7 separate regions of the Mus musculus genome follow, and regions 2, 3, 4, 5, 6 and 7 are each reported to be linked to region 1. The links are microRNA targets in miRTarBase. Many come from high-throughput screens and were not tested one by one. Region 1 holds a microRNA gene; each other region holds the end of a gene's coding sequence.

Region 1 (4,056 bases):
TAATGGCTGCTTATAAGGTATGTATTCACGCTGAATGTGTGTTCAGTATTTTGAGAGTGCCTGGTTTCCCCCAGAAAGTTGGAAAACCATTGGCTTTTATAATGATAGTTGTTGCATGAATGTCCTTACTCTGTGGATCTCTTCCCACCCTCTAGAACACAGGTTCCTTGAGCTCAGAAACCCCATCTAATGCTCGTAGGTGCACACAGGACGAATGATGCTGAGTGAATGGCAGTTGGACATGTTTTCTTTGTTGAACCCTCTTTGAGGCCTCTCAGAAGCCAGAGAGAATAGAGGACGGTGCAGACACCTTGTACCCTGATGCTGCTGGTTTGTCTGTGCGGTCTCTCAGGATACTGCCTTGGAAAGGGAGTTATCCTCTTTTAGGTCAGCCTTCATTGGTGGGCAGGATGGACCCTACTACACAGAGAGTCATGGTTTCTTCTATGTCAAACCTACCTCAGGACTTCTCTAGGAGAAACACTTTGGGATTCAGACTTGGTGTCCGTGTGCTTCTGGGTGAGTGACCAGTTTCTGGCCAAAGCCTGGATGTCTGTACAAGTCTCTGGCCACCTGTAGGCAGGAGAGAACTCTGCAAGTCAGTCCATTGCTAGTCTGCTTTGCAGTTGGACCTGGGGGCTCATCGGAGGTAATGCCAGCCTCCCTAGAGGGTGGGAGTCAGGGAGCCAGAGCCGAGGGAGGCAGGGCTGCCTGGGGAAGAGGCGCCCTGCTCAACTCTCGGCCTGTGCTGACGTTTGATTCTTGAGCAGAGGTTGCCCTTGGTGAATTCGCTTTATTGATGTTGAATCACACAAAGGCAACTTTTGTTTGAGTATCAAAGCCTGCTTGGGGTGGCATTGGGGACACGTTACAAAGTTCTGGGGTCTCTGCAAATGTCATGTGCTAGAATGGAAGGTGTGGATATGGGGATGGTCAGGAAGGGGTGTGGCTCAGAACGCCACGTGACCAGACATGTAGTCCCAGGAACCAATGGAGAGATGCCAATATCTACTCCCTGACTCTTCTCAGCCTGAATCCTCTTTGTCACACCAGCACCTAGCCCCCCTAGTTGCAGACACACTCGCTGTTCTATCTCTACTCTGAAGATACCTTGACAAAATGAACTCTGTCCTTTGACAGTGTCAAGGACAATGGCAGCCTTCCCTCCCCACCCCCTTCCTCTCCTCAACTCACTGGGTCAGGAGTGCTCACATACCATCTGTTTTTCCCCCCTCCCACCCCACCCCCTCAACACACCTCTGTCTGTTTCTCTTTCGTCCTCATCGCTCACCAAACCTTGTTCTCCATTTTTGGATGGGTTAGGAAATGAATAGAGGCGACCAGCATTTCATCCCGTTTACATTAAATAATAGTGATAAAATAATCACAAAATAACACCACAAACTACCAGAATAGCTTGGAGGAAAATGTGTTCAATTGACTACAAATTGGCAGAAGAATCCAATTTTCTTGACAACATTTGAGCTGCGACATTTGACCTGGGGAAACAGTACTCTGTAGACATGGCAGCCGCAAGGGGCAGCTTCAGTAGTGGCGGATGCTATGAGCAGTAATATTTGTGGTAGATGAACGCACATTGAGGAATCAAATCTTCGTTCAGATTTTTAAATGGGAAAGAATTGATCCTAATGAAAATGATTTGAGGAAATAACAAGGGAAATAAAAGAAATGAAAATGGCCCAACAGCACAGTCAAGGAAGCTAAACAGGGAATTGGATTAGTTTAATGGAATTTACTTTAAAAAAAAAAAAAGGAAAGAAATGCATGTTTTTTTATGAAAATCAATGTGGGTGTGGTGTTTGAGATGGGGAAATCTATGGATATAGACTAGAGCTAGTGGGGTGATAAGAAGGACTGGTCACCATGTGGGTTTTTTTTTTTAATGTGGCTAAACTTTATTTTCCCATCCCAAACCTTTACAGAGAGCTTCATGGAGTATTCAGAAGCTGGCGGGTGTCACCTGGAGGATGTGACTGGGTACCAGTGCCAGAGCACGTGCCCACTGAGCAGTCTTCTTCACTTTCCTCGATCCTCATGAAACATTCCGGGTAAGACACTGGTTCTGGGGAGTCTGCTCTTGCCGAGCAGTTGGTACCTGGAACATTCTAGGGCCTGCCCTTCCTTGGGTTTCCATGTTGCCAGCTCCCAGGGCTAGGCTTAAAGACGTACCCATTGTTGGTGCTGAAGGGCTAGGCCCGTACGGGAGGTCATTTTAGAGTGGATGTATCCAGGGTCTAATATACTATCTGGGGTGTGATGAGCACCAGGTTTCATGGTGGCTCTCTTTCCAAAAGGATCTTTACCTCAAAGGACTCCAGAGGCTACATCATTGTCTTGGAACTGGTCAGTGGCTGGAGCTCTCTCCAGGACAAGTGCTTGGAGGAAGAACCTGGACAAGCTTCCCTCCCCATACTGTTGACTGGATCTTGTAGCTACCGTTAGCCACCATCATCGCCATTGTGTGCCTCTTAGGAGCATTTCCAGGAGGTGATGCCAGCTGGGGAAAGAGCCTCTGTCCCACAGGTCAGTTTCCAGAACACCTACATGAAGCTGCCCGTGGCGTCTTTTCCCCGTATGACACACTGCATGTGACCAGTCTCTTGCTGCCCTGCAGCAAGGCTAGAAGCCTGTGTGAACTCTTGCCAAAATCAGAGAAGGGATTCTGATGTTGGTCACACTCCAAGAGTTTTAAAATGAGTGGCGAACACAGAATCCATACTCTGCTTATGGCCTAAGTCAATGGATCCTGACCCTTACTGGAGAGCCCTCCCTGGCGTGCTCGTGCGGGGCAGCCATACACACTGGCACAAGGGGACCCTGCGGGATCTCCTTCCGCTGTTCTTTCTCTCCTCCCTCCATGTTTATCTTTGAAGCATTACTTGCTTGGTTTATAGGACTGGATGGTCAAGCAGTTCTTGCTATGACATCACCGTGGGGGGAGGGGGCAGGTGACAGGGCGGGGATGCCAGGGTCGTGGGGCTGCAGTGGTTGGGTGGGCCCAAGGAGGAGCATCTCTGGATGATGCAGTCATTGCCTCCTCGCTTCTGGAAGGCATCGTCTCTGGGAGGGTGGTGTGGTATATGCGCAGGGTCTCAGCATCTCCCTATCTCCAGCTTACAAAGGAGAGATAGAGTAAGCAGAGTTCTGCACCCACTTCTGCCCCGAGTCAGCTCCTCGCTACCTGGGTCTCAAGGTTGTCTGGGAAGGCTTTAGATATTCTTGGAAGGTGAAAGGGTGGTAGATTGCACTGGGGAGGTGATGGAATAATTGCTTTCACGTGGTGGAGGGTGGCTCCTCACTGAATGGGGAGTTATAATCTCTGAGGGGCTCCAGGATGGTTCTTCTGGAAACTCAGCCATCGGCCTCGTTCTGAGCATCCGAGCCTCTCCGTGGTACTCGGAGAGAGGTTACCCGAGCAACTTTGCATCTGGAGGACGAATGTTGCTCGGTGAACCCCTTTTCGGTATCAAATCCCTCCAGGGAGGCCACCTCAGGGAAGACCATGGACTCATCTCGCTCTGGGGTATGGGACGGATGGTCGACCAGCTGGAAAGTAATTGTTTCTAATGTACTTCACCTGGTCCACTAGCCGTCGGTGCCCGCTGCAGCCTGCGCCCAGGATGTCACAGCCTCAGCTCAACACCTCTGCTGGTACTTGAAGGGAGATCGACCGTGTTATATTCGCTTGGCTGACTTCGAATAATACATGGTTGATCTTTTCTCAGTATCAACGCTCAGCTTGGAGAAGCTCTTGGAGTTGCAGCCCCTGTGGGGGTGGGGACAGCATGGTGCTTCTAGGTTGCTGCCTCCGCGGGGAACTGGGCTGGGTGGAACAGGCTGTGTGCTGCCTGTGTCAACCCTACTCACCATTTATATGCAATCCCCCCCTTCCCCCCAGGACAGCTTCAGGTGGTGATTCCAGCTCCAGGGTTGCTGCGGTCAACACTGGGTACTTGAGGAGAGGTTGTCTGTGATGAGTTCGCTTTATTAATGACGAATATAACACAGATGGCCTGTTTTCAATACCACCTGCCA
Region 2 (4,066 bases), not on the chromosome of region 1:
CAGTGGGCTCCTAGGCCCATCCCTTCAGGAGATGGAGCTTCTTGAGGAACTGTCTCCTGAAGGGAGACCAAGGAGTACAAATTTCTTCTTGGGGGCGGGGTCTGGAAAAGAGGAAGGATTAGGTCAGTTTTCCAACTCTAAGACATACTGTAGAAGCAGAAAGTCAGAGAAACCCGGGAGAATAAACCATGGGGAGATAGGACTCAACTCCTCAGGGGAAAGAAATCTGCCTGTGGAGGTCATGTGTGTACCCTGTCTGTAAGCAAGAATACAGGGGTTGGCTGGGGGGATCACTCCATTTAGAAAAGATCCATAAAAGGGCCAGAAAGGGTGGCAGATGCCTGGGATGTTCTAGAGGTGGGTGGGAAGGACCCTCCGTAATCCACTCCTGATCTGCTCCTCTTTCTTCCACAGAGAATCAAATACCTGATAACCCCCAGGGAGCCCAACCGCTGGGCTGTGGAGCGTGAAGGGGCCACACCCTTTCACTCCCGAGTAACCCTCATGAACGGCGCACTCATGAAACCCAGTCACGTCATTGTGGAGACCATGATGTGAGGTCCGGGCCATGTGACAGGCGCCGCTTTCCTGCTGTTTACTAACGTTAGATTCTCATAGGACCAGGTTTACAGAGCTTTATATTTGTACTAGGATTTTTTTTTTTAATTGTCACAGAAAATGTTACTCTATGTGTGTGTGTATGTGTATCGTGTATGTCTGTATATGTGTGTTTTGTTTTGTTTGGGGGATATTTTGTACAAAAAGAAAACCCATAGGCCTACGTCCTGGGGAAGAGGATGGACTTTCATATTGATTTCCATGTATTTTGTGGGAACTTGGTAAATTTTTCTTTGTATTTTTTTTAACATATAACTATATATACTTAGAGTCTGTCATACACTTTGCCACTTGAATTGGTCTTGCCAGCAATGGATCTCGTTTTTCAAAAGCAATTCTTCGGTGCTTATATAGCTGGCAGAAAGTTCTGCCCAAAAACAAATGAAAAAAGAGAAAAAAAAAAAAAACCTGAATGCTGGGTGGAATTTTCCTATGATAGTGGATACATCTTCAAGAACGGTGTAGTCCCTTCTGAGCTGGTTCAGGAGGAAGAACACAGCTGAGGAGAGGGAGCCCCCCCCCCCCACTAGCTGAACAGACCTGAGGGGCAGGAGAGAGCAGGGCTATGGACCCTCAGCCAACAAGAAAGATGCCAAAATACTGGCCCACCCTCAGCATGAATGATAGATCTCAGAGCAGCTGAAGCGGTTGTACCAGGGCCAAACGCCTGCCCTCTTACTTGGAAGAAGACATGGGTGGTAGTCAGTGGGACTGGCTGAACCACCATGGGTATTACAGGCAGGGATGGGACGTCTGAATGTCTGGTGAGGATGTGGCTCAGGTCTGGGAGCCTGCCTCTGCAGGCGTAGGCCGAATCCCTGTCCTTTCTTGAACACTCAGTATGGCTGCCCGAAGCCAGGCCACAGGAGCTGCTGGGGCTTCAGAGTGGGGGTCACACTCAGGAAGTGTCTGCGGTATTTGAGTGGAGTCATGGTGGGTGGTGACCAGAGTATTCCCCAAGCAGAATGTATTTTGGTGAGGGCCCGGGGTGAGGGAGGCCAGTGGACCAAATGATATTAGCAGCTCAGGAGGGTGAGTGTACCCCAGGCTGGCAAGTGTACCCCAGGAGGGCACTATTCTTCCTTGCCTCTTGACAAACTCTTGTGAAAGTTACCACCCCAGAACCATCCAGCAGCTCCCAGCAAGGAGTGCTCCAAGTGGCTGTAGACCCTGGATCTTAAAGGATCTGAGTTCCAGTACAGAGCCAGCTTGGTAGTGACCTCAGATGATTTCCAAGCCACTGCATTGGCTGTTGGACAGGCGTTTGCCCCCAGGGGACGGCAGAGGGAAGGCGAAGGGAAGTTTCGGTCAGTTGAAGCTATCTCCACAGAAGTGAGGTCAGTACTCCAGAGCTGCCCAATGTCAGCTTCTGAACCAGGAGAGGGCACTACACCTTCACCCCAGCCTCCACTGGGCCCAACTGTGCCATCCTGAACTTCTTTGACAAATGTACACATTTTTTCCTGTCTCCAAAGCAATGTACTCTGCCAAGTGACCCTCTAATCCTCTTCCAGTGGCTGTTGACTCAGCCACCCATGATTGTACTGTGTTCCTGTTGTCCTGTGTATTTCTGGTTGCTCTCGTGTTATTTTGAGTGTTTGGAGTTCTCCTTCCCCGATTTTACCGACTTGTAATGTACCCTGGTTTTCTTTCGTTCAACGGAACCTTAAAAGTAACCACTGTGGGTGACTGAAAGACAGGTGAAGTGTAAGGGAGAGGGGGGCTCGTCCAGCTGTGGCAGTGTCTGTGGTCATGCCCGTCTACCCTACCCCTAACCCCCACCGGGCACGCCCCTCTGGCGAGCCTTCAGTATTTTGGGTTGGCAGACAAATGGCACCATTCTGGAAATGGCCTGAGAAAGGCTTTTTTTAATCATTCCCAGATCGAATTCTAGACCAAAGACACAGCGGGCCAAGTCCCCAGGCCCTGCCTGGATTTGGAAGGCCAGCCGCCTCCCGAGCCCACTCCCCAGCAGTGTCCCCTCACCTGTCTTCAGTGGCCCCCACTCTCACCCCGCCCCTGCCCCTGATGACCCTTATTGTGATGCTTGTCTTTTCACGTCTGCATGTAAGTAACATTTTGAAGTAGAGCTCGTGACTCTGGTCCGCCTGCCTCCTGGAGAGAGGGCTAAGCTGTTCACCAACCAGCCCTTGCCTGGAACAGGCCAGATCCTGTCCTGCCTGTCAGATGGAGACAGGAAGCAAGGGACATTGCCTGGTTTAGATGAGGACATTAGGTGGGCCCAGGAGACCCTGGGAGATGTTATTTGGTCCTAAGAGTGATGTGACCTCCCAAATGGAGGGTCCCTGCTGGGCACTGTGGGCAGCCCCAGAGGGCCCTGATCCAAGGCACTTATGTAATCAGGAGAATAGGCCTAGTGTGGGGACTTACACTGTGAGCTAAGTGGAACTGGACATTTGAGTCATTTGTAGCTTCAGGTTCTCCAAGACTTAGTAGAGGGAAGGCAGGTCCAGGGCATTGTCTAAGTAAACTGTCAAGCCTTCCCTGTCAACCAAAGGCCAGAGCTGATGAGGGCCCTTGCTCCATATTCATGGAACACAGAGCAATACCCACGTGTGCCAGTCCTTACCGCCCTGCTCACCCCGGCCCCGTGCCACCCTTCCTTCCTTCCTTTCTCCTCCAAAGCCTTTGGGAACTAGGAATTGATACACCCTCCCCTCAAGTTGTACCACAGGAAACTGAGGGCCAAAGACATCACTAGTGTGAAGAGCCTTAGCTAGGGTGTATGGGCAGGCCTTTGACCTCCATGTAGCCCAAGGCTATGCAGGAAGTAGCCTGAGAGGGTTTCTTTTCCCTCTCTGCCTCTGGCCTCCAGTCCTCACCTCAGCTCCATACCCTACCATGGAAAGCCACGCAGACCATGGCAGCGCATGAGGAGAAAGCAGCACTCGCCCCCTCTGCACAGGAAGGGGCTTTCTCTATCACAGTGTGTCACCACCATGGCCGACAGCATTCCAGTCCTGCCTCTCGGGACGGGGCAATGCTCTAGCAACCAGTCTAACAGGTGCCAGCCCAGTTCCTCTCTCCAAGATGCAGACACAAGCCAGGAAGGCACCTTAGAGAAGGCCCCTCACAGTCCCACTCAAACCTGAGACCCCTGTCCCTATGGACACTGTAAATACCTCTGTGTGCACACCCCTTCCTTCATCAAGCCCCAAACCACACACACAACAAAACCCAGATACTCCAAGATGGAGAGGGGCATCCCGGAAGCCAGAGCAGTGCTCCCTCCTCCCCTCCTCCATCTGATCGCCTAGGAGTCAGACCTTCACAGGAAACTGGCTGTCCATGCTCTCTGGGAGGGAGGAGTGGTGTCATTGTCATTACAGGCATGTTCTGGCATGTTCCCTGAAGGACAGAGCATCTTATTATATATTTGGCTTCAAAATGAGATGGTAGTTCCATTTTCTTTTTTTAAAAACAATTA
Region 3 (4,066 bases), not on the chromosome of region 1:
AAAAGAAGGAAGGAAATTAAACTCAACATGTGCTCTAAGGATGTAAACAAAAGCCACCTACAAAGAAACCTGCTCCCTCTAGTTACCAAGGCTCTGAAATGCCACTCACAATAGCTTACTGCTAGCACCCCATTTCCTGGGTGTCTCAGAAGAGCGCTGCAAACAGAAGAATCCACAGCAGACGGATCCTCAACCTCACACGCCTCCTCCCTGTGCTCCCACAACACTCTCTACACACTAGATCATCCCTGATGCTCAGATCCCTGGAGCAGACAGTGCTAGCAGTCAAGGTTAACTTCAAAATGGTTATTTTTGCCTATAAACCTCTAATATTCAATTTTGTTAAATGTGATTTGGAGAATTATGTTTTCAGTCTATTTTGAGCCAAAAATGATTCTATACCTCTGAAACACTGCAACAAATTATCCCACTAATCAAGGTAACCAGAACCATGTTAACTGCCAAGCTCTTTCCAGGTTAAAAATGCATGTTTTCTTCATGATCACTAATCAGGAAACCTATTCTCAACAGTTATTCAAAAGTGTACTTGGCACCTGTACAATAAGGCAAGCAATTCTACGTTACCCATCACCTACCCCAATCCCTCTCTGAGTGCTTATTCCTCTCCCACTTTGGTGTAAGCAGGCCTCAAACTTGAGAAATTGCCAAGGATGACTCTCGCCGTCTGACCTCTTGCCTCCCTCGCCCAGTTCTGGGACTGTAGACATGTACTATCACATCCTGTCTATAAGACGTTTAAATATTGTTTTTTGCAGTCCTGGGGATTGAACCCAGGACCTCATAAAAAGACATACAAGGGACTACAGTACAAGACATCCTGGACTATATAGTCTCTGTGGTCCATGTTGCCCTAGAGTACATCTCACTGTATTGCCTAGAAGTCTCATCTGAGACCCCCAGTGATCCTCTGAGTGGGGATTACAGGCACGAGGCACAATGCTCAGGTGTCTAATTTTTGTGGTTTTTGAGACAGGTTCACACAATGTAGTTCAGGCTGGCCTTGCACTCATGTCAACCCTCCTCCTATAGCTCTTGACTGCTAACAGGCATGAGTACCGTGCCCAGCTATACAAACACAAACACACACTTCATGCTAGAGAGACCTGCCCCAACCCTTCCTCAAAAGCCTAGCACTGAAAATGTTTCAAGTGTCTGAGCAAGGGGAATGTGGAGTAAGGGAGAGGGGAGGTCAGCAATGGGCCTGGGGTGGCTCCTTGCTGTGGCAGTGATACCTGCTCCCTTTGTCACCTGAGCACTACAGGGCACAGACTCCATGGCCACACTAACAGAAGCAGCAATGCACTCACACTAAATCAACAGGGGCAAACCTCCCCAGCCTGGTCAGTCTGCCACACTGCTTTGTGTTTGACAGAGTGCTCAGTGCTACAGAAAGCACCAGTGTCCCACATGACACAGAAAATTTGGCCAAATTTTATATAATTTAAAGAGTTTTAGGCTTGACTTTATATAAATAGATGTTTGGATGAAAGATGTTGTTACAATGACAAATAAAAATTAATTTAAAAACTTTTGAAAGTGATCCTCCTGCTTGCAGGTTTATAAAGTCCAGCCAATATATAGTTTCCATCTCAAGACCAGAGACTCAGAGCCCAGAAGCCTCTCTCTGGAAGCACAGCCTGGAGGGTGCTGCTCTGCACATAGCTTCTACCCATCAGCAGCACAGCTTCTCTCCTGAGTTTAAGTCTGCTGTCAACGGTTTTCTTCCCTGCACTTCTGCCCTCCTCTCGCTGTGTACATACAGTGTCAAAGGACGAACCCAGGGCTTCCTTGCAAGCTAAGCACCACGTTCTACCACTGAACTATGTCCTCAGGGAGTCCTTGTTAGGGTCTGAGTAATCCTGCTAGGCTGGAACTGACCCTGTGGGCCAGGCTAGTTAGAATCCCAAGGACCTGCTTGCCTCTGCTCCCCAAGTGCAGGGATGAGAGCCCGTCACTGCTCCATCTGGTCATTTCCGGGTTTTTGCTGTTATTTTGAGAAAGATCTCACTGAAGCCAAAGCTGATCTTTAACTTACAGTGGTCTTCCGTCTCACCTCCCAAGTGCTGGGATTATAGGCTGTGCCACTATGCCTATTTTTTTTTTTATACTGTATCTAAGCAATGGACACAATTTATCAGGTATTCCTAAGTCAGCCCTTCTTTGCTAATTTTTCTCTATTTTTGAGGCAGTGTCTCTGTATAGCCCTGGCTATACCAGAACTCTTTGTAGACTAGGCTGGCCTCAAACTTAGAGATCCTCCTGCCTCTACCTCCTGAGTGCTACAATTAGAGGTGCACACCATGACACTTGATTTTTCTCTTGCACTAAGATCCCACACTGTAGCCTAGGCTGACCTGTAACTCACAATGGAGTTCAAGCTGGCTTTAAACTCGTAATCTTTCTGTTTCAGGTTCCCAAAGTGTGAACCACTGCATTCAACTAGTTTAATTTTTTTGTTATTAATTTAAAACTCTTTCATTGATATGTATATATAAATGTATGTGTGTGGATATACACACATGCCAGAAAAGGGCATGATCCCTGGGAGCTGGATGGACATGTAATTGTGAGCAGCTTGACTCGGGTGCTAGGAATGGAACCCAGGTTCTCTGGAAGAGCAAGCACCACTTCTCCACCCCAGCTGTGCTCTGCTATATGTGAAGACAGGGTCCCACTGTGTAGCCTTGCCTGGCCTGGAACTTGGTACGTAGACCACATGGCCTTGAACTCAACAGAGATCTGCCTGTGTCTACTTCCCGAGTGCTGGAACTCAAGGCATGTGTCACCACATCTGGCCCTCTTTTATTGAAGGACTCTCTTTAGCTCAGGCTGACCTCAAATAACTTCCTGTTGCAGCTTCCTGAGTGCTGACATCACAGGTGTGTACTACCACGCCTGGCTTAGGGACTTCTTTTCAGTAGGTTAACTAGGGAGAACTTGTGTGCCTGCTCTTTACAACTGTATGCTATCCTTTACTTTTCCTCAAGAGGAGGCTTCCTACAACTGCATCAATCTCATAAATCTAAGGCATATTTTCAGGCCACTTGAAAAATTTCAGGTGTAACTATTAAAGGCTCTTGGTGTATATGTATTACAAGTACTATCTTAAAATCTTTCGATATAAAGCTAACTATTAAAAAAGAAATTCAACCTACAATGCCCAGTACTCTGTTTAAAGCAACGATATGAGCTGAGAGATTTGGTCCTGGTCCTTTGGTCCCTCAGATGCCCCTAAAGTGGCTCTGAGTTTTCCAGCTGCACACACAGCCTTCCTAGGCTCAGGCCTTGAGCCCGGCTATTGTTACCCTCTTAAGGACATTCTAATTTGTATGCAGTACCTGCAGTCTATACTTTCTTCTTACAAAGAATATGATGAGTGAGCACAAGTTGTAGCCGTTGGTGTTAGGATGAAATAGTTTCTATGGAAACGTTAGTGTGAGGCTCCGTGGTCCTTCCTGACTTCATGACTTGTGTTGCTCTTTCTACCTCGTCCCCTTCTGTCACCACTACAGCATCCACTTCAGCTACTTCCTCAACTACGGTGACATCAACTTCAACTCCGTTGGTCTGCTGCTGAGCCATAGCCTCCAGCCTGAGCCGATACTGCTCGGCCTCCTGCTCTTTCTTGAGGAGCTGGTGTCTGTACTCCTGGGCTCTTCGGTTGGCCTCCTGGAGCTGTTGCTGCAGTAGCTCTCTTTCACTGCCTTCCTGTAAAGCAATCAGCGGCAACACAGTAAGAATCCCGAGTATGAACTTCCCAGATGAAGACGGAAAAATGAAGAGGGCGTCAGCCCTAACCACCATGGTGTCCATGCCCTCCTCCTCCTCTGCTCACCATGGTGTCCATGCCTTCCTCCTCCTCTGCTCACTGGTAAGCATTCATTACCTTCATTTCCTCAACCCTGTTTGTCATCTCTGCCATCCTTGGTCTCTTCACCAATGGCAATTTCTCTTCTTCCTCTTCTTCATCTTCAATTATTGTCTCCTCTGCAACCTGACCAGCAGGCACAGTTAGAACTACAAGCCAAAGCACATCAATGGGAGA
Region 4 (4,057 bases), not on the chromosome of region 1:
CGGCCTTACCGCAGCAAGCGCCTCCACTTGATGCAGCAAGATGGGCTTATTGCAGAAGTCCACCAATGGCTTCGGAGTGCTCAACGTCAGCGGCCGCAACCGTGTCCCATACCCTCCCACCAAGATCAGTGCCTTCATGGCGTCTGCAGATGTTAGAAGTGGATCTATCGGTCCAAAGTACTTACAGGCCGCCTGACCGACCCCTGCCGCGCACTCCCAACGCCGTGCCCTGACCTGCACGTTTCACCAACTAGACTGACCAACTCTGGTGTCACCTCGCCCCCCTGCTCTACCCTGATGTGGGGTCCAGGATCAGCCAGAACAGAAGACGAGGAACTGGTTGGAGACCGGCTGGTCCGGAGTTCCGGCCGGAGGCGGCGCAGCCAGTGACGTAACAGGGAGAGCCAATCTACGTGGCAGGGCCGCCCGCAGCCGAGCGTCAGACTTTACGCTGCGGCGGACGTAGCCAATTAGATTTCCAACGCCCTGGGCTGCCATGGGGACCCGGAGAACTCGCGAGTCAGATGCCCATTGGCGGATCTAAAGGCGGAACCGAAAGAGGAGGCTTAGCTTCCTATCGGAACCCAGTCCGCCACGCGGCAGCTGCCATCTGCCCCGCCCCGCCCCGCCCCGCCCCGCCGACGCCGCCTACCCCCCCAAAGGCCACTCCAGGTTCGCCCTGATGACCCCGCCCCTCAACACTTGCTCTGACCCCTATATCCAACCCCTCCCGTGCTGCCTCCCCCGACCCCCCACCCCCAGTGTCAGCACTGTCCCGCTGCACCTGTCCCGACCCAGCTCAGCCCGATCCCTAGACTAGCCATGTCGGCCCAACCGGAGGCGATGAAGTTTTCACACAGACTTGGACAGAGTTCAGTTTCTAGAGGCTTTATTTTGACGTATACGACCAGACACAAGCGGGCGGATAGCGCTGGGTGTACAGAAAAGGGCCGGCTTGGGCCAAGCACTCCTCTCCACCACACAGAAGACCTGGGGAAAATGCAAGCGCGCCTAAGCGCCAGTGGAGCCACGTATGCATCCAGGCGCAGGTCTTAGGGTGTGTAGCTTCCAGGAAAGAGGAGCAGATAACAATTTCCAGAATTCCAAGTCTTACATTTCCTCCACAGAAGCAAAGGAAATTTCCCCAGGTTCTCCTTTTTCCTCGTTAAAATGTAGTTTTTAAAATGAGCACACACACACAACCAACTTATATAGCTGTAAAGTTCAAAGCAGTTTGCATCTAGGGAACGTGCACGTGGCCAGATGTGAGCGAATGAGCAGCGGATACTGAACGGATACTGTCCGAGCCCAGGTCCCTTGCCCCTAGGAGAGAATGAATCCCCACACCACTGCACGGCCCACAGCTGAGAGGGGTAGAATCCCAGGCAAGGACATTGCTCTACTGGTCCCTTCCTCTTCCAGCAGCACCCATCCCATTTCACTCCCACCCATCTCCCCGGGCTGGTATGGGCTTGGCCCGGGAAATACAATGGAAAGGGGTAATGTGAGCTCCCAACCCATGATCCCTAGTTGCACTTTGGTCCCAAATTGATGATTGGGAAGGCAGGACCTGTCAGGAAAAAGACAGGGCTCTAGCCTGGGACAGGCAGAAGAGCAGTGGTAAAAGTGTTCGCACACACTTGCCACCACCTATCAGATAACAGAGCTGGGCCTCCAGATATCAAAAGTGCTGAAAAGTGAGGCCCTGCCCTTGAGCAGCGGCAAATCCCAGCCTTTCCTCGCTTGCAGTGGCAGGAGCAGTGCCTACCAACTCCCTTGCTACTTGAGAAGCAGCAGAATGGGGGCAGCACCTCCCAAAATCTGGTAAATCGGAAGTACAGCACATTCCTAGGAGGTCTCTGCTGGCCCCAAACTCCTCTCTTGACCTCTATCCTGCCAAAGAAAAGGTGTCCACGCTAATTAACACTTGCTGCCTGCATGGCACAAGCAACACTACTACTGGACAGAAGACAGGTGTTAGTAAGCAGAGATGGGCCAAGCCGTGCCTCCCGGCCCTAAGGAATGGGAACCTGCCCACCAATGGCACCAGGGTCAGAAGACTGACTTGGATCCGTCACAGAACCCTTTTCAGAGGCTGCATCTCTAAGAACCTGGAAATTATGCCATTCGTTAACAGTTTCTCTCAAAGGTTGGCAGGATTACCTTCAAATGCCAAAACAGAGACATGTTAGAAGTGATAGACTTGGAGACTGTTGCTCACCTTGGCAATGATTGGTGTAGTGTAACCTGTCGGACACTATGTTACAGGCAGCAGCAGGTCTCTACCATGAAAGGACTGGTAGCAGAAATAAAAGCAATAGGTCAGGGTCAACCCTGAGCCTTCATTACCCACCGTTGGTGCTGAAGGCCATACCCCAGGCCCACAAGAAGGCCACTGGGCTAGCAGGTAAACACCACTATGAATCATTTGGCCACCAGGTTTGTAACAGCAGAACCTGCTGAGGAGGGGCACAGGAGCAGACTCACCTCAGAAAAGGAAAGGAGAAGACTGCTGGGGGAAGCATGAAGGAAATCAATATATACTAACCAACAAGGCTATACTCCAGAAAGCTCACCATGAGACAGGGGCTAGCAGGTGGACAAATGGACTTACTGACAAACCCCAGGATTAATCAAAGCTCTCAGCAGACGCTGGGCACCTGTGCCCAGGGCCCTATGTCCCTAAAAGCAAACAAGTTTAAAGTTCTCCCTCCAGGCCTAGAGCCTGGAGCACCACATACAGGGCTGCTGCCTTGAGCTTGGCCTGGAGAAGACAAGACCCTGAGCGGACCACGGTTCCTGAGCCCTGGGAGCAGCAGCCCACCCACAAGCAGCACAGCTGCCCCAGGTGAGGAAGGGATGCCACCCAGAGCCCAGAACTGCAAATACTGTCTGGGCCAGAGCCACTAAAGTCCCGCCCTTAGGCCTCCTGGGACACTGGCTCTCCTCAGCAAACAGCTGTGCCCATCTTAGTGGGATAGGAGGCTATGAGGCCTCCTTAGGTCAGGGATCCCAGCAAGAGGCTGGCTCGAGTTGTGGAGAGAGGAACAGGGTTACATGCCAGTGGGTGCCTAGGGAGCCCAGGGCCTGCCCTCTGCTGAGTTGGCCTTAGCTCAGTTTCACCGATCTAGCCCCATGCCAAAATCAGACCCAAGGGTGAGTCCGTCTGTGCAGCTAGCCCTCTAATGCCCTGAGGCATCTGTTACAGCACTGGCACGAAACTAAGATGGCCCTCAGGACGTGGGCACTTAACCTTCCCCAGTTCTGGGAAATAAGGGATGATTGGGCATGGAGACCGTGTGCCAGCCGAGGGCTTCACCTCACCATCAGCAGAGCCCCACAGCCACAGATCCCAAACGCCTTAGGCAAGGGAGACCAAAGTTCAAGGCATTCATTCTCTTTGCTGTCAAGCCCACTGGGGCCACCTCTTCCTTCCTGAGACAGCCTGGACACAGCAGTCACAGCCACAGAGCTAAGGAGCCTGGCTGAGAGGACAAATGTTCTGCCCTCCTCTACTTTATATATATGGATTCCAGGCTACAGCTAAAAACATTTCTTTTAGTTTACACCAAAGAGAAATATAACCCTTTAAAAGCAAGTCTGTGTGTCCTCACAGCAAGTTCAGAGCAATGGTCCCTGCCTGTGGGTGGAGAGGAGGGGGGTCCTAGGCCCAGCACAGGGCCTACTGGTTCTCATCCCGCATCTGCTCCATGATGCTGATAAGATTCTCCAAGCCAAACACATAGCCTCTGTCTGGCCCATCGTGAACAGTGGGGTCATCCCGGAAGCCCTTGAATGTGCTGTGTGCAAAGTCAATCATGCGAACATCCACCTTGGGCGGAGAAGAGGGGCCAGCCTCAAGACTGGTGCTGCTAGGACTGGTGCTGGGGCCACAGGGTGGTGGCACCTCAGGGAGCCCCATGTCCACGTGCTTGAGACGTAGCTCAGACCGGCACTCCTTGCCATCATAGATGACAAGCAGGGAGCTGGAGTAGAAGCGGTAGGAGGCCTGCCGCTCCAGTACGGCTTTGAGGCCCCGCAGTTTGCTCAGGATTGG
Region 5 (4,066 bases), not on the chromosome of region 1:
CTGTAAAGAGACTCTCCTCCCTTCTGAAATATTCAACAATATTCCAGGTGTCAAAAATCACAGTATTTCTCATCTAACCTATCAGGGTGCTGGCTTTGTGTATAACCATTTCTCAAGTTCAGATGCAAAAACGAACCAAATCTGTGAGCCCCAGCAGCCTAGGGCTCCAGATATGCATGCCCCTACACCTACACCATCAACACATGCTCCTTTGGCTGCTTTGAAACTGCCAAGCCCATGCAAATCCAAAAGTCTGGGGGACTTAACATCAGAGGACATTGCCTGCAATTTTGAAAGCAAATATCAATGTATTAGTAGGAGCTTTGTGACAAACGGCATTAGGGACAAGAGCGTGACTATGAAGACAAAGTCATTAGAGCCTTTAGACGCCCTGACTGAACAGCTCCGGAAGCTGGTGTCCTTTGACCAAGAAGACAGCTGTCAAGTGCTCTACTCAAAGCAGGATGTCAATCAGTGTCCCAGGGCATTAGTCAGAAAGTTGTCGTCTAGAAGTCAGAGCAGAGTGCGCAACATTGCTAGCCGTGCCAAGGAGAAGCAGGAAGCTGGCAAGCAAAAAGCTATGGCCCAGAGCACCAGAGGAGGAGTGGTCCTTAGAAGTAAACCGCCCGCTCCTGCTCTGGCCGTGAACCGTCACTCCACGGGCTCATACATTGCAAGCTACCTGAGGAACATGAAAGCTGGTGGCCTAGAGGGTCGAGGCATCCCAGAGGGAGCGTGCACGGCCCTTCGCTATGGCTACATGGACCAGTTTTGTTCAGATAATTCAGTTCTGCAGACTGAGCCAAGCAGCGAAGATAAACCCGAAATTTATTTTCTTTTGAGGCTTTGAATTATATAAAGTTGCATTTTCATTGTTTACATGATACTCTAGAAGATGTTAGATTTTTTTCCATTGTCAGGAAATATGATACTGGGCTTTGAAATGATTTCCAAATGTATTTTTAAACTTGTATTTTGGTCTCCCTTTGCCTCATGCATTTGTATATAGATTCTGTGGCCTTTCCCAGGAATCCATGATCTTTCCCCCAAGGTGTTGTAAACTATGTTAGTATGAAATGTGTGCATGCCCTTATGTGAAACTTCTCAGCAGCTTGGGTCATAGAGTGCATATGTTGCACACAAAAAAATGTGTTTCCCCATGTCCTCCGATCACAGTCCCAGAGGCTGTCACCGTTACTCACTAAGTGTTGAGCTCATTAAGATTAAACTTTGAAAACCATAAAGGGATGGATTCTTTATGTGAAGTTACATTTTCCTTCTGAATTGAGAGACTCAGATTCAGTTTTATAATCCATTTAAAAGAGATGTTTTAAGTGGTTACATTGCCCTTTATGATTTCCACATGCCACCCAAAGTAGGAATTCCATGAAGATGGATAGCAGCTCACCAACCCCAAGTCCCTTTTAGAATGGACTATGAGGAAGAAAGCGAACTTCTGTATATAAGGGCAAATTAGTTTGTTTTGCATGAAATTTTGTTACATATTTTTGCTAATGGCCTTGTATGTAACAAGAATCCAGTTGCCAAGCTATCTGTCATTCTTTTGGATGATGTAATATTATAGATTGAAAATAATGGCTTTCCGAATGAGAGACGTTCAGCTGGGGATGGTGGTTCCCGACTTTAATCCCAGTAGAAGCAGATGAGTTTGAGGCCAGCCTGATCTACATAGTAAGCTCCAGGCCAATCAAAGCTATGTACTCAGTCCCTGTCTTAAAACAGCAACAACGAAAAGATAGTGAGAGACTTACATTAAACTTAAAACCCAAAGTAGGACAAACAGACACTTCCCCAAAGCAATCAAGAAAAAAAGTATTTTCTCATAATCCAAGTGAATAGATAATTAAAAGAAGCCTTTTCCCTTTAGGGAACCAAGTAACTCTATTTTAGTACCGACATATATTATTTTCATTGTGGATCCATTTTTTATTGCATGTTCAGATGTCATTTGCTTTTTGTACCATGAATTACAATGATGTTCTTCCTGGACCTCATAAAAATATAATTAAAGCAGATTTTTGAACACTTGATGATTTTGTTTATAAAACAAAAACAAAGCCACAGCTGGAGTGTGTGTGATAACTGTTGAATGGGGGACCAGGATATGTCCTCCTTTCTATGTGTTTGTAGCAAAAGTGGGGTCTTTTATTGTCAGGGATGGTTTTATGCAGCAGTTTATGTGTCTGAAATTTTTCATTATGTTGAATAATATACTCATTTTTTGTTTTAAATATATATTAAAGTATTGTATATACTTTATATATATGTACATATACATGCACATACATATTTTGCTTATATGTATGTATAGCATGTATGTGCCTAGTGCCTGAAGTGGTCAGAAGAGGGCCGAGGATCTTTTGGAACTAGAATTACACAGTTTTGCTGCTCTATGTGGGTTTTGGGAGCAGAACCTGGGTGGTCTGCAAGAGCAACAAGGGCTCTTAACCACTGAAGCTTCTATCCAGTGACATCGTTATATTGAAGATCCTGTATATTTGTAAGGTCCTTAAACAGATATCAAATGGAATTGTTTTTCTGCACTTAGTATGGATTTGCAAGTTTAAAAATAATTCTTGTCAACTAGTCCAGTGGCAGAGATTGTAATAGGTGGCTATGGAGGAACAAACATGGGGAAAGTTCAGGAGATGCTTTGCTTGTCTTGTGTGTGTGTGTGTGTGTGTGTGTGTGTGTGTGTGTGTGTCTGTCTGTCTGTCTGTCTGTCTGTCTGTCTGTCATGGGGAGAGAAGCCATTAGGCCGTCAGTCCCTGCTCCATTCAGTCCCAACTCTTAGCTTTTCTCTCATGCTAGGAGTCATCATTCATAAACCTAGAAATTTGTTGGAAGAAGAAATATCAAGGGGAAAGGGACCAAAACTCATTTCAATTCTCTTAATGAGCTTGAAGCATTTCTTCTGTCTTGTGGCCTTTGAACCTCTAATGTTCTCTCTTGTGACCTTAGTTCATCTGTTACCATTTTTATTTTAGAAACCATTGATCTAACACAGAGATTTAGAAACTACATGGCTATGAAGAGAATTTAGCTGTGTTTTATGATTTAAGCACTCTTTACTCTAAAAGTTAAAATAGGAAAGAAAAATCATGTATCCATTCATAAGATGAATGTTTGCAGACAGGAGCTAGGTAGTACAGGGGTTCTTTCAGTGTCCATGTTTTTGGCCATATACATACTACAATCTTCCAAGAGACAGATCACAGGAAAAGAAGAGAAACCAGTTTCACGATAGTCATTTGAGAGTTCTGTATTAACCAAGAGGAGGCAATAAAGCTTCGTTTTAATAAAAAGCATCTGATGTTCAGATCCTGCTCATTGAGATTTCTCTTGTTCAGAGGACAGATGCGGGCCTGAGTCAGTCCCAAGGAAACCAAACAAGAGACGTCTCTATCAAGATGCTAGCAGGCTTTGCAGTGCTGACTGTGTGAGGAGCTGCTAGTTTCTGCAACTCTGACTTGCGACAAGCCCTGTGGAGTTTTGGTTTCCTTGAGGCTTTTTCCTTAGAGGCTGCACTGATGTTCCAAGTCTAAGCAATGAGGTGGCTGGAAGAGTTTAACGGTAAAGACAAACACAGAGGACAGAAGCAATGGTGCTTAATGTGAATCTCATCAAGGAACTTTCCCACTTAAAATCCTTTATATGAACAAAGTAAGGTCCTATAACTTTGCATAGAACTTTGACTCATTCTTCTAAAATTATCAAGCCTCCCATGTACTTCAGAACCTTAGATTCCACTGTATTATGTTGGCATATTCACACTTCTGTTTCCTCCATTAGCCATAGGCAGTGACCATGCCTTGTGCCCTTTTCCCAGCCTAGGACCCAGCATGTATGTACAGTCAGTAAATTGGTGAATGAGAAGCTTAAGTAAAATGGGAAAGAAAATAGCACGCCTGATATCTGCCGATTGTATTCTCATAAGACCTTGTTCCAAGTGGTTCCATGTGGTTACAACCATTGATCTTTCTACATGTTAGTTACTTTTCCTGTTCCTATCCAGCCCAGCTTTCTAATCCCGTTTTAATTTAGC
Region 6 (4,066 bases), not on the chromosome of region 1:
CTGAAAGCCAGTCCCTTTTTCCAAGAGACCCAGAAGGGCGTTCAAACGGAAGACAGAAGCCCACCCTTCTTAAGGACTCTGAGAATCCACACTGTCCAGAGGCAAAAGAATCCATTCCCCATCCTTCAATCCTGAGCTCACGCTACCCACGCCTTTAAAATAAGCCTCTGTGACATTTGTGACTCTATAGCGCCCCCTGGCGTCATTCTGGGTTAGCTGAAAGAGCAGGCGAAAGGGCCACTACGTGGGAGATTAGGACCTGCCTGGTTCTAACTGTCTCATAAACTGACACACTCTAAAGGAGGCAGCCAACAGGGGTTGATGAATGTAAGATCCCAGTTTCTGAATTGGCACAGTCACGTACAAGCCTCTAAGTTTTGTGCCTCAGTTTCTTATTTGTGAGGTCGGCATAATACCGGGTCATGTAGACAAGCCCAGTTGCTGTGTGGAAGGAGCAACACGTTTGCCAGCCCAGGCTCTCAGCTGAGGTGAACTGCCCTTCAGTTTTTCTTTATCTCAAGGTGGCCATGCCCCATGACACATGTAAACCTGGCCCTGACTCAGGCGGTGTTGGTAAGGTGCCTCTGACAGTTCTGGAACATTTCCACTGCAGCCGAGAACCATTTTAATAAGCCTATAATAATAGGCACAGAGGTGACTCAGATCTGCAACCGAGGAGTCCTGCCAGGGAGGAGGGGACACAGAGCTCTTGGGAGAGGGAAATTCAGTGGCACCTGGGTCTGAGTGGTGGCAGGCTGGGACTGCAGAGAGGACTCCATCAGGGGCCCAGGGGTTTTAGGCACACTCCCCTAAGAGGCCTCCCTAGATATCTCCCCGCACTATCTGGGAAGTACAAGGTGAGACCACATGATCTCCAGTCTCTTCCACGGGTAAAGCTGTGCCCCTGTATTCTCAGCTCTGCCACCCACTGTAAGGATGCTATCGGGTTTGCTATTGGGGCATGCCCATGTGGCTTCAGGTGGCATCCCCATGTGAGCTCTCTGGTGAACAGAGCAACTCAGCCACTCCATCCACTTCTCAGGCTCAGAGACACTGCTGCGATTGCCCTGCGTATGCCCCGAACCCAAAGCTCAGGTCAAAACTCAACGTCCATGGTGATGGGTTCAGGAGGCTTTGCCTTCCTTAAGGGTGGGGCCTTGTGAATGAGACTAGTGCCCTTACGAAAGAAGCTGGGTGCTTGGGGGTGGGGGTGGAGGTGGGGGGAGGGTAGGCTGAGATGTGGCTCAGCAGAGTGCTTGTCTAGTATGCAAAAATCCCTGGGTTCAGTCTCAGCTTCTTATAAACCAGATGTGGCGGCACATGCCTGGAACCCCAGCACTGTGGGGGCAGAAAAAGTACAAGTGCATCTCACATAGGGAGTTGGACACTAACTTGGTTAGAAACCCTATCTTTTAAAAAGAGGGCCTGCTGGAGAGATGGCTCAGCATTTAAGGTCACTGGGTCCTAAGGACCCAGGTTCAAATCCCAGCACTTACATGGTGGTTTACAGTCCTCAGGCCCTTCTTTTGGCCAGGTACCAGGCATGGACACAGTATACTGACGTGTCCATAAAATGAAAAACGAAATTTAAGGCTAGGGAAACCCCTTCCATCCTAGTGGGGGTGTAGGGCACACAGAAATGAGGCAAAGATGGCTGTCTATGATCAGAAAGCAGGATCTTCCAGGACATCACATCTGAAGACACCTAGGTTTTAGAATTCTCAGTTTCTAGAATGGTGAGAGTTTGCAGGTCTGTGACATTTCATTGTAGCCGCCTAAATGGACCAAGACAGACGGAGCCCTTGGGCCATTGTGGTTTATTGATGCTCATGGCAAGCACAGCACAGAAGGGTGTGCCCCACCCAGGGACAGAAGACAAGGCAGCAGGCCACGACCACAACAATGCTGTCAGCAGAGGGGAAGGGCCTTGGGTGGGTGGGTGGGGGGTGTCAAATCCTCTTCTCTACATAGTTCCCAGGATCCCAGATCTCTTGGCCCATCCCATGAGGTACCTGACTGTCTACCAGCACTGTCTCTGGTAGCCAGCCATTCACCGGTCCCTCAGAGGTGTGGCCCTGTGGGTCTGCCAGCTCCTCTGTCCTTCACAGAAGTCCAGCTGCCTGTGTATCATCTCTGTCACCTCGGAAAATGTTACTATGACAATCCCTCCCTCTAATCTGTCTCTACCTGCTTGTCTTGTCTCAGGGAGTCCACCCTCCCCGCCCTCCTGATCCAGACAACAGCAAGAACAAGATGAAAACACAGGGAGCTGGGGGGGAGGCGGGGAATTCATCAGGAACTCCCCAGGGGATTAGCCCAGAGAGCAAGGGATGGTGTGATAGAGAGCCAAAGATCTGGCTCACATGGCACAGAACAGTCATGACTCTCAGGCAGAGCGGGTGGGTGAGCGGGTGAGCGAGCAAAGTGCACAGCTGGGCAGGGTGCCAGGGCCCTGTGGGTCACACTCAGTTCTCTCGCTCTGTCAGACCCATCAAGACATGAGGTTACCCGCTTCAGGCTGAGGAACAGGTCTCAGGGGTCTCCTTCCCCCTCCTCGACCCCAGCAGCTGTTTTGTGCCTACCTGGGTGCTCTCTGAGCGAGAGAGATTTGCTGAGGAATGTATAGAAGAAAGGAAAATCTCAAGAAACCAGAGCGAGCCCTCCAAACTAGAAAACGAGAGAGGGTACTTTTCCAGAGAGTGGGAGGGCATCTCAAGTGGGTCAACGACAGTGACAGGAGGGATGGACGGTTCTCCCATGCGGGAATTGGGCTCTGGGGGGATCAGGGGCAGCCAGGGCAAGACAGCAGTGCAGGAGGTTATTTATAGAGAGAGGAGCCTGGCACTGGCACGGAGGAGGCAAAGCCCTCAGGCCCAGCTGAGTGAGAAGGGGGCTGTCTGGGGTAGCCCTGAGTGGGGTGGGTGGGGCTAGGAAGGAGGTACCCCACAGCTTTCTGCATCTATATGGAGGCCAGGCTATACATGGGCATTGGCCCGAGAGGCAGGGAGGACTCTGGGAGATGCCCGAGGACTCAGGGAGGCCTGCTTGAGGTCAAAAACCAGAAGAGGGAAACAGGAAAGGAGGTTATCACCTGCTGAGAAGCCCCCCCATCTCCAGGTCCACCAGGCCCGGACTGTGCCATGCTAAGACCTTCCGTTGTCTCCAACGTAGGGAGGAGGGGGTAGTGGACAAAGTGGAGGGAGCAGGGAGAGGGGAGAGAAAGCCAGGTCCCCAAACCTAAGCCACACATCACGTCCCACCCTCCTGCCCTCCGGCTCCCCAGGAGTCCCTAGCGGCCCACGCTGATGTTGCAGGTCTTGCAGCTGGGATCTTTCTTGGCGTCAGCAGTGGACAGGCTCATGAGCTGGTGCCCGCTGATCTCTCCCAGGGTGCCCAGGGACAGGTCGACAGGCTCGGTGTAGATGATCTCCAAGATGAGGTCCTGAGCGTGGCGGAAGATCAGCTCTCCATCCTCCACACTGCAGGTCAGGAACTTGTTGCAGGCAATGTCCAGGAGGGGCAGCCGGTCACGACAGAAGCGGTCCCCCAGGGAGCCTTTGGGTGCCAGCACCAAGATGGCATAGTGGTAGGCTGTGTACATACAGTAGAAGTCCGCAAAGTAGAGGTTGGTGCTGGGGTTGAAGAGGCGCTGGGCAGGGATCTGGAAGCGCCAGCGGCCGTAAGGGGAGTCCTGCGGGGGCTGGCCTGTGTTGAACTCCGTGTTGCAGCTGAAGAAGACCCCGTGCAGCATGCCGCTGGTGGGGGAGCCGTGGCTACCGCTGTTGTCCTTCAGGTAAGGCTGCAGTACGTTCCCACAGTGGGTCCTGCCCAGCAGGGAGGAATGCCAAAGAGAGGGGGAAATGCCACGGGTTAGCACTCTGAAGTTAAGAAGAGAGTGAGCCAGCCCAACTCCCAGCATTCCTGCTAGCTTGCAGCCTCCACTACTTGCAGACATTGAGTCCTTCCGTGCTGTCTCCCTGACTAGAATCTGAGGATGAAAGTAGTCTCTGCCTTAGTCTGTGTGCAGCCACCTAATAGGGAGCCTGACACGGGGGTGGGGTGGGTG
Region 7 (4,066 bases), not on the chromosome of region 1:
GTGATCACCTGGGCATTTGGTTGTATGCCTCTGTCCATCACCTTCTCTGCCCAGCAGGGTTTTGGTCATGGGTGGATCCATTAGTCTGGAGTTTGGTTGTTGGTGAGCCCAGGCCCATCCTTCCTTCCTTTTCCTCTAACAGGATTTTGCCAATACCATTCCCGGTCATGGAGGCATCATGGATCGCTTTGACTGCCAGTACCTGATGGCCACCTTTGTCAATGTGTACATCGCCAGCTTTATCAGGTGCGGAACTACTCCACCGGATCCAGATATTCCACCGGATCCAGCTGAGTGGGCTTTGAAAGCATGAGTGTTTACAAATCCTCTGAGGTCTCTCTCCCTCCACTAATAGTGAATCCAGGGCTCATAGCACCCCATGGGTAACTGGGCCAGCGAGGCAGCTGGCCCCTGCTCAGGGGTGCCTTATGTTCTGTTGTAGGGGTCCAAACCCAAGCAAACTGATCCAGCAGTTTCTGACGTTGCGGCCAGATCAGCAGCTTCACATCTTCAACACGCTCAAGTCTCACCTAACTGACAAGGGGATTCTGACATCTGCCTTGGAAGATGAGTAGAGTCCACCTGGGGCCCAGAGAGCTGGAGCAGGATGGAGTGGGGGCCAGTCGCCAAGGCCGCCCAGCTGCTGTGACTTAGATAATGAAAAGCTTCAACTCACCACCGTCATTTTTTTTTCTTTTTCCTTTTTGTGCGTGTGTGGTTTTTAATCTGTATATACTGTCTGTTTATAGTGTGGGCAGTGAGTAAGCTGTAGCTTTGAGTTGCAAAGAAGTCACAGGAAAGAACCATTTGGGTTTCTGAAGTACAAGTATTGAGCAACATGAAGGGCAGTGTTGCCCAGCTCAGGGTGTCTGCTTGGTGGCTCTAACCCCTGCCCATCCAGTTGTTTCTGGGCTGTGCGAGAGATCATACATTGATCTGTGTGTGATGAGTTGAGGGCTTTCCCACCTGCACGGGCCTTCACGGGCTCCACGCTTTTGCTGTCCTTGACACCTCTCGTTGGGGCTTCTGCAGGCATCTCTGTCTGAGAGCAGTGGGGGCTGCCCTCTGTAGAGCTGTGAGAGCAGTGGGGGCTGCCCTCTGTAGAGCTGTGAGAGCAGTGGGGGGCTGCCCTCTGTAGAGCTGTGAGAGCAGTGGGGGGCTGCCCTCTGTAGAGCTGTGAGAGCAGTGGGGGCTGCCCTCTGTAGAGCTGTGAGAGCAGTGGGGGCTGCCCTCTGTAGAGCTGTGAGAGCAGTGGGGGCTGCCCTCTGTAGAGCTGTGAGGGAGAGGCTTTCTGATCAGATGAACATCTGTCCAAGCCAAAATTCTGCAGAGGGCAGGTGAGCTTTGCTTATGTAGTTTGCTTTCACCATATAGACTGAGAGAAGATTTCAGACTTCTTTTTCTCAGAAAGCATGAAGAATTTATGAAGTATGGAAAAGAAGCCCTTACATATTCCAGATGTGTGCAGCAGGGGGCACTGTCCCAGCCCTCTCTGCCCCAGCCAGGCACAGTGGCCTCTAGAGGGTGGTCCTGTAGACCGCACCTTTTAGAGTCGAGGCCTCTGTGGTTGTGCCGCGGGTTTGCTGCTGTGCTGAGTCCTTCTGGGGGAGCCCTAAGAGGTGGGGAGCAGAGGACTTTTGCTCAGACACCCTTTGCCTGGAAGCCCACTTGTGTTGCTGCTGTGTTGTGTATATAGTATTCTCGAGATGAGCGTATGTGTGTCTGTTTAAAAGTCACCTTGTTTCCTACATGATTTTAGTCATACCCAAACGTCCTCAGAATCCCTACATCCTGCTTAGAACTGTGGCCGGCCTAATCTGTCAAGAGGCTTGGCTCTTCAAGACTCAGTGTCCACTTTATCAAATGTGACCGGTGTAGCTGTAGTTTGTACTTTCCTGGGGACCTTCTGCTGGGGTTTGTGTAAGCTGTGATTCTTTCCCTTCCTAATAGGTTGAGCTTGACATGGAAAGGAGCAGTTGGCAGGGAAGGAACTTATTCCCCAAGAGTGGTAACTAACCCACAGCCCTGCTCGGTGTGCCCACCGCTGAGAGGCTGCAGTGACTTCCCCAAGTACCGTGGTCTGTGCTAATTTGTTTTCAGATTAGTCTTCCTGTGGCCTCCAACACTCAGCCAGCCCTCAGAGTGTCCGCTGTGCGCACGGGGGCGGGGCGGGGCGGGCAGCTCCTTGTCTCTCAGCTTTGACTGACTTGTCCGCATTGGGGATTTTTGTTCTCAGCTCCCAGGCCGCACTGAACACAGTGTTGCTGCCTTCAGTTTGGTTCTGGCCATGAGGCCCCTAGTGGGAGCTTTGCCCTTAGGGCTGTCCTCTGACTTGCCCTCAAAGTTCACCAATTCGGCAACTCCATGGAGACGGTCGTGTCACTCTCAGCCCCTGTTGCTATTAAGTCATGTCATGGGCACCCGGAAAAGGAAATACACTGAGGTGTATTTTACAATTGCTCCTTAAGATTCTCAGTGGAGATTAGGAGCAACACTGCACTTCTGATAGAAAAATGGCCTTGGATCACTAAACTAGGTAGAGAAGGGCACACCACACCCCAGCGCCCCAGGAGCCAAAACTCACGCTCGGGCAGCAGCAGCTGAGGCTTGAGGAAGCTGGTGTCCTAAGACACTGAAACCCAGTGCTCATTGGAGCTGCCAGCCACAGGTTTCTATTCTGAGTTCTCCAGTCTTGTGAAAGAGGAGAATTTCCCAGTCAGGTAGCCAGGAGAACAGTGCCACCCTGCGATTGTGCCACCCTGTGATTGTATAGCGTGTTGTTTGTTCCAGTAAGCAGGCAGGCCCAGAGACTGCTTTCTCAGCACCGCACAGATCTCAGTGGGTCACATAACTTGCTTTACACTCATCTTGTTGTGTCAGAAATAAAGTGTTCGTGCTTTTCCTTGTCAGGAGTCCCGTGTTTGTCACTTGTTGTGTGGTTTTATGTTTCCCGCTGTGTGAGCATAAACACTGTGCAGTTTTCCTGCTTGCCAGCCTGTGTGCCATCTGTTCTCACAGCCTCTGAGATGTCTCAGGTGAGAGCCATGGGGTGGAACCATAAAGTCCCCATCTCAAAGTGTGCCTGTGGGACAGGGTTAGTAGCTACTCCCCGAGGCCCCAACCCGGGAAATACTGCAGTGTTCCTTCCTGCAGGCCTTGGAGCCCTGACCAGGCCAGTCCTGGGCACTGCTTAGATGGCTGTTAGCTTAGAACTGGTGAAGTAAAGATTTGGTCCCAGAAACCAGCCTGACATGAGAACAAGCCAGGGTGTCTTCCTGGTGAGTTCTACTCATGGTCGTTCTCAGGAAAACTGTGTTCCCTTTGTGTGTACGTTTCTCACCCCTTAACCACTTCAGTGTCAAAAAAGTTCCCATTGTGTCTTCTGAAAGTGAAGTCCCATAAGGAAGTTGGGAGAGAATGTGCAGGGTGCACACACGCATGTACAAACACACACACACACACACACACACACACACACACACACACACAGAGCCTATTTCACATTCTCAGACTTTTAGTTTCTGCTTTATAACCGCATTTAAAATGTATTCTTAATGTGCTGTAGTGTGTGTGAGCCGGTGTCCAGAGGTGTGAAATATACCATGTAATCTCACACAGGTGGACTGTGGAACCGTTTTTATGGATTTTGCCCCTGCTTGCTTTCATCCTGTAACCTAGCCTGTATTATACAAGAAAACTTGAGCAGGACATTTCAAGAGAATATGTTGGCCTAATTGTTGGGTTGGCTGGGACCTGCTCTGAAGGGATCCCTCAGTTCACCGATTGGCAAGCCAAGGTCAGTCCTTGCTGTTGATGGAGCTGGGAGGAGGAGGGACCTAAGGACTCAGGACAGAGCATCTCACGCGAAGTTCTGTGTGGCAGTCAAGTGTTCCTCGTGGAGTCAGCCTGAGGTAGATTTCCAGGAAAGCCTTTTCCTCGTTACCAGTGTGTGATGTCACAACTGAAACTTGTGTTAGTAACGTCTAAGGCCATGTTGCCTTTGTCTTTAGAGTAATTCCTGGCTGTGCCTACCACTCCTGCATACTGTGCTTATGTGCGTGCTGCG

What was found. Region 1 holds the annotated microRNA mmu-miR-541-5p (AAGGGAUUCUGAUGUUGGUCACACU, at 2,676-2,700, shown strand). A microRNA usually pairs through its seed, bases 2 to 8, with sites in the 3' UTR of a target mRNA and lowers its output. Matches are read on the target gene's strand: a 7mer-m8 pairs with bases 2 to 8, a 7mer-A1 pairs with bases 2 to 7 and ends in A, and an 8mer does both.
Region 2: miRTarBase lists Slc6a6 as a target of mmu-miR-541-5p. Seed matches in the 3' UTR shown: 7mer-m8 at 1,432-1,438.
Region 3: the mRNA of Gabpb2 is a reported target of mmu-miR-541-5p. The part of its 3' UTR that is shown has no 7-base or 8-base seed match.
Region 4: the mRNA of Ip6k1 is a reported target of mmu-miR-541-5p. The part of its 3' UTR that is shown has no 7-base or 8-base seed match.
Region 5: the mRNA of Plch1 is a reported target of mmu-miR-541-5p. The part of its 3' UTR that is shown has no 7-base or 8-base seed match.
Region 6: the mRNA of Phyhip is a reported target of mmu-miR-541-5p. The part of its 3' UTR that is shown has no 7-base or 8-base seed match.
Region 7: the mRNA of Cds2 is a reported target of mmu-miR-541-5p. Seed matches in the 3' UTR shown: 8mer at 1,780-1,787.

Annotation. Positions count from the first base shown.
Region 1 is chr12:109,739,747-109,743,802 of GRCm38, forward strand. Mir541 (microRNA 541) reads left to right here and starts at 2,663; the gene lies at 2,663-2,752. Mirg (miRNA containing gene) reads left to right here. Exons shown (of 8, transcript NR_028265.1): 3 at 1,944-2,069; 4 at 2,316-2,544; 5 at 3,611-3,672; 6 at 3,920-4,056. Mir377 (microRNA 377) reads left to right here and starts at 764; the gene lies at 764-831. Mir409 (microRNA 409) reads left to right here and starts at 3,412; the gene lies at 3,412-3,490. It also overlaps Mir412, Mir369 and Mir410.
Region 2 is chr6:91,754,500-91,758,565 of GRCm38, forward strand. Slc6a6 (solute carrier family 6 (neurotransmitter transporter, taurine), member 6) reads left to right here. Exons shown (of 15, transcript NM_009320.4): 15 at 415-4,066. The coding sequence ends at 558. Among named protein-coding and RNA genes, the nearest start is that of Gm44981, 35 kb to the left of the region's middle.
Region 3 is chr3:95,185,247-95,189,312 of GRCm38, forward strand. It overlaps Gabpb2 (GA repeat binding protein, beta 2), which reads right to left. Exons shown (of 10, transcript NM_029885.1): 9 at 3,908-4,038; 10 at 1-3,729. The coding sequence ends at 3,424. Among named protein-coding and RNA genes, the nearest start is that of Sema6c, 23 kb to the left of the region's middle.
Region 4 is chr9:108,045,598-108,049,654 of GRCm38, reverse strand. Ip6k1 (inositol hexaphosphate kinase 1) reads right to left here. Exons shown (of 6, transcript NM_013785.2): 6 at 873-4,057. The coding sequence ends at 3,683. Gmppb (GDP-mannose pyrophosphorylase B) reads right to left here and starts at 391. Exons shown (of 9, transcript NM_177910.4): 1 at 10-391. The coding sequence starts at 138.
Region 5 is chr3:63,694,217-63,698,282 of GRCm38, reverse strand. It overlaps Plch1 (phospholipase C, eta 1), which reads left to right. Exons shown (of 24, transcript NM_001370984.1): 24 at 1-2,049. The coding sequence ends at 850. Among named protein-coding and RNA genes, the nearest start is that of Plch1, 200 kb to the left of the region's middle.
Region 6 is chr14:70,466,559-70,470,624 of GRCm38, reverse strand. It overlaps Phyhip (phytanoyl-CoA hydroxylase interacting protein), which reads right to left. Exons shown (of 5, transcript NM_145981.3): 5 at 1,801-3,824. The coding sequence ends at 3,290. Among named protein-coding and RNA genes, the nearest start is that of Phyhip, 11 kb to the right of the region's middle.
Region 7 is chr2:132,304,711-132,308,776 of GRCm38, forward strand. It overlaps Cds2 (CDP-diacylglycerol synthase (phosphatidate cytidylyltransferase) 2), which reads left to right. Exons shown (of 13, transcript NM_138651.7): 12 at 143-246; 13 at 443-4,066. The coding sequence ends at 575. Among named protein-coding and RNA genes, the nearest start is that of Gm46766, 43 kb to the left of the region's middle.